2 linked regions of the Ovis aries genome follow. The protein of the gene in region 1 purifies or fractionates together with the protein of each later gene. This does not show direct contact. Links are inferred from orthologs where the notes say so. Each region holds a gene or a part of one and is shown on either strand. Other genes may lie near its edges.

Evidence for each region.
Region 2: the proteins of ATP11C (region 1) and TMEM30A purify together in Homo sapiens (co-immunoprecipitation; 4 studies listed by BioGRID and IntAct, with this or other methods). This does not show direct contact. The link is inferred for Ovis aries from reciprocal best matches to the Homo sapiens genes ATP11C and TMEM30A.

What each region holds. Positions count from the first base shown.
Region 1 is NC_056080.1:95,503,099-95,507,391, reverse strand, and holds the start of ATP11C (phospholipid-transporting ATPase IG), read right to left. Parts: upstream 2,879-4,293; 5' UTR 2,734-2,878; coding exon 2,707-2,733; intron 1-2,706. UniProt on the Homo sapiens protein: Catalytic component of a P4-ATPase flippase complex which catalyzes the hydrolysis of ATP coupled to the transport of aminophospholipids, phosphatidylserines (PS) and phosphatidylethanolamines (PE), from the outer to the inner leaflet of the plasma membrane.
Region 2 is NC_056061.1:2,071,568-2,075,378, reverse strand, and holds part of TMEM30A (cell cycle control protein 50A), read left to right. Parts: intron 1-2,483; coding exon 2,484-2,591; intron 2,592-3,811. UniProt on the Homo sapiens protein: Accessory component of a P4-ATPase flippase complex which catalyzes the hydrolysis of ATP coupled to the transport of aminophospholipids from the outer to the inner leaflet of various membranes and ensures the maintenance of asymmetric distribution of phospholipids.

The sequences.
Region 1 (4,293 bases):
TCCCTTCTCCAGGGAATCTTCCCAACCCAGGGATTGAACCCAGGTCTCCTGCACTGCGGGCCAATTCTTTACCAGCTGAACCACAAGGGAAGCCCTTAAAATGTAAAGCCCTTTCCTAACATGTAGTATCTAGTTTTGTGACCAAGAACTACAATCAACATCACTGGAATTTATATTACATTCAAAGTAAATTTCAGATGTACACGGGTACACAAGAAAAACACTTAATTCTGAAAGGAATTCATAGCCCCATCTCCAAAATATAAAAGCACACAACTTAGACTACATCTATATTACTGTGCAAGGCAAGCTAAACTAAGTCACTTCAGTCGTGTCCAACTCTGTGCGACCCCATAGACGGCAGCCCACCAGGCTCTCCAGTCCCTGGGATTCTCCAGGCAAAAACACTAGAGTGGGTTGCCATTTCTCTCTCCAATGCATGGAAGTGAAAAGTGAAGGACGAACCTAAATCTTTAGTTGTATCCTTCTAGTGATGTAAATGGGAGTGCCACTCAGTCTCTACCAAGGAAAAGATGAGGACAGCATTTTGCTTACTGACTACGGGAGCTAAAAACCGCCCCCCCCCCCACAACTATTTCGAAGTCATTCTTTAGCAGTAAGTATTTGATAGTATATTTCACATTCCGTCCAAGGGTTTGCAGATTAATTCCTTGCCCTAGGCCTAGGGCTCAGATACAACTCCTGAGAAGCTTTCAGTTCACTGCACTGGTAGAAATTCTGGAGACTTAACCAGAGTCATGGTTGCTCAGGAAAATGCGAGCAGTCCAGTATTCCAGCAGAAACAATGAGGTCAAAGCTCCTTTCAGTGTGAGCATATTCTCCGCAGAGATCTTGGACGGGGATGCAAGGTACTAGCCTCAAAACCTGCAGGCTGGCACCTCAACAACTGCTGCAAATTCTACTGCATGCCCTGCCTTCCCCGGCCAGCACTGCTTCCTTACTAGACTCAAACAACGCAGACCACTCTGAGCAAAAGAAAGATGAAGGGGGCTTTTAGACTGATACTTTTAGACTGGTTGTTTGGTTTCAAATCTTTAAATCCTTAAAAAAGGGGGGGGAGTCATCATCTCAATGTTGAGCTAACGAATATATTACGAACCACAGTCCAGTTGTTTTCCAGTATAAGAATGCCATGTGAAAAGATTATCCTCTTCCCAAATATTACAATTAGTCCTCTTTGTCACCTTTCCTTTTCTAACACCCCCAAACAACACTCAGGATCACAAGAATCTGCATGAAATAGAACTATGAAGCACAATGCTCTTTTACCTTCTCAGACTAAATGTGAGAAACCAATTTTAGTCACTTGCTTTAGCAAAACATACAGTACAAGCCAATTCCTACGGATTTCAAAATCCTGATAGGAACAACCTCTATTGCTGTGCCACAGGTAAACCTGCTCCAATTTCATAAGACATGCTTCTGGTGAGGTAAACCTTTAGAAAAACATTAACAGCACTCTTGTGATAATAATAGCCTAGAAGGGGACGTACAATTACTTCGTTTAGCCAGGGTACATTTGTGAAAATTTCAAATGCAGAAAAAATGAGAGCAAATTCATCCAAAGCGTGAAAAATGCTAGCAATGCTTCGATTACGAATAATCGCAGGAAAACAGCCAAACCGACAAGTTCTTAAACAGATCTTGTAAGGGGGGTTGGTAGGCGCGCACAGCACTCAACCATTTCTCCTAAGGCCAGAAAAATCCACATTTACTGACGAATCCTTCCTTTCACATTACTGGCAGAAATAAAATCCTATTCCCGCCACCTCATCTTGCAATTAAGGAAGTTGCTACTAATAGCAGCATAGAAGTAGATGGTCCCGGTTTCACTCCATTCTTCACGTACACTCTAGGAGTGAACAGGTTACTCAAGAAAGTCAGTAATCGGTTTTCCGGGTGCCAAACTCCTCGGCAATAAAATTCCCTTTTCTGGGGATCGGGGAGGGGGAGTCGACGTGGACGGAGGCGTCCAGCCGCAGCTCACCTCCTCCCCCGGGTCAAGGTCTGGGCCGTTCGGTGCTCGGCGAGGCTTCAGCCCCGGCGCTCGCTTGGTAGCGGCGGTGCCGCCTCCTCGCGTTTCCACCTCGACTCAGCCCACCCCGACGATCGCCCTCGCTTTTATTAAACCCTCAAGGTGAGAGGCTCAGGCTGGGTCTCCAAAGTTTGCGCGGCCTCGGGTGAGCAGCCGGCTGAGCCCGGCCCCAGCCTCCCACCCCTCAGCCCCCAGGGCTTTTTTGGACCACGGTGACAGGTCTAGGTTTACCTCCATGTGCTCATGGCAGAGGAAACAAAAGAAAGCAACCTCCCTGATAATAAAACGCCATCTTCGAGTAACTGGCACACCGAGGGACCCTTGGGTCGGTCCCCCCCGGGGGGTCCCCCACCATCCAGCTCGGAGGGCGCCCCCGCGCCGTCCGCGGCAGTTTGTAAGGAACAGCCCAGGGAAGCTCCGGATAAATGGGCCGGGGTCGGGGTGGAGTGGCGGGGTGCTCCGAGAGCCCTATCTGACTCCCCACCCCGACCGCCCCGGGCAGCGTCGTTTCCGTGAAAATGTAAGAGCGGGCGCTGCTGGTGTCTCCCAGAGACGCAGTCTTCCCCTCAGGAAACTGTTCTGAGGGACCGGGCGAAGGGGCTGGCGAGCAAGCGAACCGACACGCGGGGAGCCGAAGCGAGTGTACTTACAAAACGATTAAAGCTCCGGCGGAACATCGCGTCGAAGGCTGCCGGGCGCCGAGCTGGACTCTACTGGGCTGTCTGAGAAGGTGCCGTTCACACACGACACTGCGGCGTGGGCCGGCGGCGCGAAACGGTCGGCGAGGCTCGCGGCCCCGCCAACCGCCGGCCCTCCGAACTCCCCCCGCCCCCCTCGGCCCCCGCCCCACCTCACTCACCGCCCCGCCCCGCCCCGCGCCGGGGGCGGCGGCCCCGCCTCTCCCGCAGCAGCCCGCGGAGATAGCGAGCCGAAAGCGCGGGGGAGGGATGGCGGAGGAGTGCTAGGCTCCTCCTGCGGGAGGGGGACGCCCAGAGCTCTCCACCAGCGGCGGGTTCGGCACCCCGCTGTCTACACTCTACCCTGCCGCGGAGCCACCGCCTGCTTCTCCGCGGTCAGCCCGCGTGCGCCCGCCCCGCTCGCGGCCACGGGGGACCCTCCCGAGGCGCCCCGCGCCTCACCTCGACACTACTCCCCGGCTCGTGCGGGAGCCGCAGCCTACCCTGCCCCGGCCCTAATACGTCCGCCGCTCCGCTTCGCTCACAGCCCCTCCTTGGTCCGCGGCAGCTGCGCCGGCCGTCCCGCACTCGGGCCGGGGAGCCACGGTGCAGCCTGCCGGCCCGCCCCGAACCCGCCAGGCAACCGGGCTCCCCGCTCCCCGCGGGGCGGAGCCGGGCTTTGCGTGAGGAGCCGGGACCGGCGGGGCGCTGTGGAGACCCCAGCGCAGGCGGAGCGCGGGCCGGGGGACTAGTTATAAGAGGCCCCCTCCTCGTGTGCCGAGGCGCGGATCTCCCCACTACCCTCGCTTCGCTCAGCTACCTACGCGCCTTTCCCTCCTCAGGTTTTTTCTCATCCTGTCTCCCCATCTAAACCATCTCACTTCCACTTTCTCTCTGAGGTTGTAAAGTCAGGCTTTGTGTCGCCGCTGCTGCGCAGCGGGGCGGGATTTCCCTGCCACCCCCAACTACCCCTCCCGCCTATACCCCAAGCCCGTCCCTCCCGCCCCCGCCCCTTTGCTTCTCGCACAGCAGCCTGGGAGTTGTAGTCCCGCCATGCCCCCGCCTAGTACCGCGGGCTGGGAGCTCCCCCACTCGCCCGCTCTGGGTTTGCCCAGAGGGTTGAAGGAGGAAGCGGCTGAGATCTCAGGGCTGAACCGCGGTTCTCGGCTCGGGCTGGAAGTGGAGGCCACTAGCGCTCCTTAGATTCCCCGCGGTGGGAAATGTGAAAAGGATCTGCGAGGCAAAGCCACGAATGCCTGGAACCTTCCCTGGGACGCGAAAAATTGTTCGCCAGGAAACGCTCTACCCTCTCGGCTCCTAGTTTAGAATTGGAGTTTGCGAAACTTTAAACATTACATAGGAAAGCCGAAGCTAAAATTGCCTTGAGATTGGCCATCCCAACGCCCACGTCGCTCGGTTTGCACCGCACTTTGCGGCGTGCCCCGAGGCTGCTGGAGCAGAATGTAGATTCCTCTGCAAAAGTAAAGAAAAATTAGTCGAAGGAGATCAGAGGGATTAACAGGAGCCTCTGCCGCGCCACCATCTCCTGCCAGCGAAGGG
Region 2 (3,811 bases), on another chromosome or scaffold:
TTGCTGGTGGGAGTGCAAAATGGTACAGCCATTTTGGAAGACAGTTTGGCAGTCTCTTACAAAACTAAACATACTCTTAAAACGCAATCCAGCATTTTTACTGCTTGTTATTTATGTAAATAGGCTGAAAATTTACATCCACATGAAAACCTGCACATGGATGTTTATAGCAGTTTTACTTGTAATTGCTCAAACTTGGAAACAACCAAGATGTCCTCTGTGGTACACCAAGAAAATGGAATAATCTTTGATGCTAAAAAGAAATGTGCTATCAAGTCATGGAAAGACAGAAATCTTAAATGCGTATTACTAAGTGAACGAGATAAATCCAAAAAGGCTACATGCTATATGATTTCAAATTATGTGCCATTCTGGAAGAGGCAAAACCATGGAGACAGTAAAAAGATCCATGGTTGTCAGGGGTTAGGGGTGAGGGAAGAATGAATAGGTAGAGTGCAGAGAGTTTTTAAGGTATGAAACTATTCAGTATGATAATGTGATGGTGTATTTATGTCATTACACACTTGTCAAAACCCATGGAATGTGCAACACCAGGAGTGAGTCTTAAGGTGAACCATTGCCTTTGGGTGATGATGTAACGTTACAGGGTCATCATTTGTAACAAGTACGTTTCTCTGGTGAGGGATATTGATAATCAGGGAGATTGTGTCTGTGTAGGTCCAGGGAGTATATGGGAACTCTGTAGTTTGCATTCAGTTTTGCTGTGAACTTCAAACCACTCTAGAAAATAAAATCTATTTTAAAAAATTCATGTAATGGAAAAAACTTTTCTCATTTTAGCTGTTAGGTCAGGTCTTCTGACATCTGCTGGTGTATTGCAATTCAGTTGTGACACTAACCACCTGCCTTTGTGTCAGAGTCCACAGGTGTAAGGGCTTGGTCTCCAGCAATACATCTGAGTGCCAGTCAGGCACCAGCTGCAAGTCAGGCTCCAGGACAACCCATACTTACGGCCAACTGGCTACAAATAAGGGAGTTCTGAGGCCTCCCCCAGACCGCCCTCACTTCACAGGCCAGGTGCAAGTTCAGACGTCTCCAGGCCACCTGAACTTCTCACCAACTGCTTATAAATGTGGGAGGTTACTGTAACTTCTCTCAGGTTTCCCAAGATGCTGGAACGACTCAGAACTCAGGGAAGTGCTAGACTTACACTTTTATTTAAAATTGTATTAATCAGGATCAGCTAAACAGACATTTGGTGAGGTCCTGAATGTAGAGCTTCGTGCACTCCTCTTCCCTCAGAATCGGGGCTTGTGGATGGGCTAACCAACTCAAAACTCACCTGCGCTTTGGTGGCCAGTGTTTTTATTGGGATTCCAGGAGAAGGCAGTGGCAACTCACTCCAGTACTCTTGCCTGGAAAATCCCATGGATGGAGGAGCCTTGTGGGCTGCAGTCCACGGGGTCGCTGAGGGTCGGATACGACTGAGCGACTTCACTTTCACTTTTCACTTTCGTGCATTGGAAAAGGAAATGGCAGTCCACTCCAGTACTCTTGCTGGGAGAGTCCCAGGGACGGGGGAGCCTGGTGGGCTGCCATCTATGGGGTCGCACACAGTCAGACACGACTGAAGTGTGTGTCTACTACTTAGCAGCTGTAGCAGTATGATGAAGACAGGATTGATTAAACACTGGTGGTTCAGTTGGTAAAGAATCTGCCTGCAGTGCAGGAAACCCGGGTTCGATTCCTGGGTCAGGAAGATCCTCTGGAGAAGGGAATGGCAACCCACTCCAATTCTTGCCGGAGAATTCCATGGACAAAGGAGTCTGATGGGCTACAGTCCATAGGATTGCAAAGAGTTAACACGACTGAGCGACTAAGACATGATTCAACTAAACCTCCAGCCTTCTCCCTCTTTGCAGAGTTTGAACTGGGCCAAAGTCCCAAGTCACATCTGGTCTTTCTGATGACTGGCCCCCTGCCTGTCCCATTGTCTTAGCACAAACTCATGTGAATTAAGGGGCTTATCAAAAACAGACTCTAATCAGCAGGGAAATTTTAAAGGATTTAGAGGCTCCTACCAGGAACCCAAGACAGAGATAAAACAGATTCTTAATTATCCAACACCAGGTTTTAAAAATGGTAGCCCTTGAGAAACCTGATAGTATTTTGTTTGCTTTATTTAATTTGAAGATATGCCATGGAAAGCTGAGATGACAGAAAAGTTGTTTAGACTTTATAGCTATTTAAAAGTTAATACATCATACAGTTTGAATTTTATATTTATGATTTTGTGCATAAATGTGTTTCTTTGTGAAAAAGGAGAGATGAGCCAGTAGGATTACATAGGATCCTTTCCAGTTTTTACAGGCTCACACTGTCTAATAGATGACCTTATAAAAAGATTTTTTTCTGGCCTGTGGTTGCTCTCTCAGACTCATTTTTCTATCTGATAGCAGATTATTTCAGAGTGTATTCACTTTCTCCAAGGAAATATACTTAGTTATGTTTTTCTCTTGCAGATTGATTATACCGGAACAGATCCTTCCAGTCCCTGCTATAAATGTTTGTCTCCGAATGTTACACCTTGTATTTGTACCATTAACTTCACACTGGACCAGTCATTTGAGGTCTGTATTCTAAGTAATGTCTTGGAAAACCCATGCTTTAAAAAATATTGATATTAATTATTTTTTACTAGTTATTTTCTTGTTGAGATGTCGCTTTAATTTATTGAGAGTCAGTACACTTTTGAGGAAGATTATTTTGTTTAGTTAGCGAATTATGCTGTCTGATAATTAAATGCATTAATAGTTTATTCTAATTGGTACTTAATAAGCAAAATTTGAAACCTATTTCTGGAAAATTTTATAACTGTACAAATCACTTTTGTATCAAGATTCTATCTACATATGTTTGTATTTAAAAAATTATTGCTCAAACTGTGTTGACTGCTTTTAATACCAACAGTTTTTACTTTAGAAAATAAATACTAATTCACACAGTTAATTGCATCATTTTTTAATCAGATCTGATGCTTTAACCTTTAACATAAGTGCAAACACTTAGTAAAACCTTACTGACGAGCAGTTAGAAAACTCTCCACAAAGTATGCAATGTGTGCGTGTGTGTGTGTGCGCGCGCGTGTGTGTGTGTGTGTGTACGCGCGCGCGTGCGTGGTCTGTGTGCTTTTTGCATTCACACTTGGCTGTCATTCTTGGAAACTGAGCCAGATGGTGAAGGACACACAGATTCAGACTAGTCATGGCTAGACCAATTTATGCTCTCCTTTACCTGGAAATTGAACTTTTAAAATGTACTGTTTTATTCTTCAGGGAGCAAAACTACTTTAATACAGGCCAATTTTTTGAACTTTTGTAGCTATGCTTTAGATTTTTTTAAAGGTACTGATGACTTTTGAAGTCCCTGGTAGATGGTTGCCATCTAGTGGTTATGGATGCTCTTGCACTGAGATAATGGACAATAAAGCTCCCTTTTTAAAAATTATAAAAATAAATTAGGGAGAAGACAGGAATTTAATTATTTTGTTTTAGCAGAAATAGCATAAATGTAAAACATCAGAAAAGTTTGATTTTTTTTAATGTGATGGACAAACTATAAAAATGCATTAAGTTCTGCTTTTGTCAAAACAGGCAGAATGAAAGACATGGATGAGACTTGTAATGATTTGGAAGCTCTATTAGTTTCCTCTCCCATTCGGAAACACTTAGGGTTTCAGAACTTTTCTTCCGTGAAGGTGATTGTCCTCAGATTCATTTTTTTTGTGGGTTCTGTGTTCTTTCACAAGCCCAAATTTGAATTGGACTAAAACCTTTTCAGAGAACAGAAA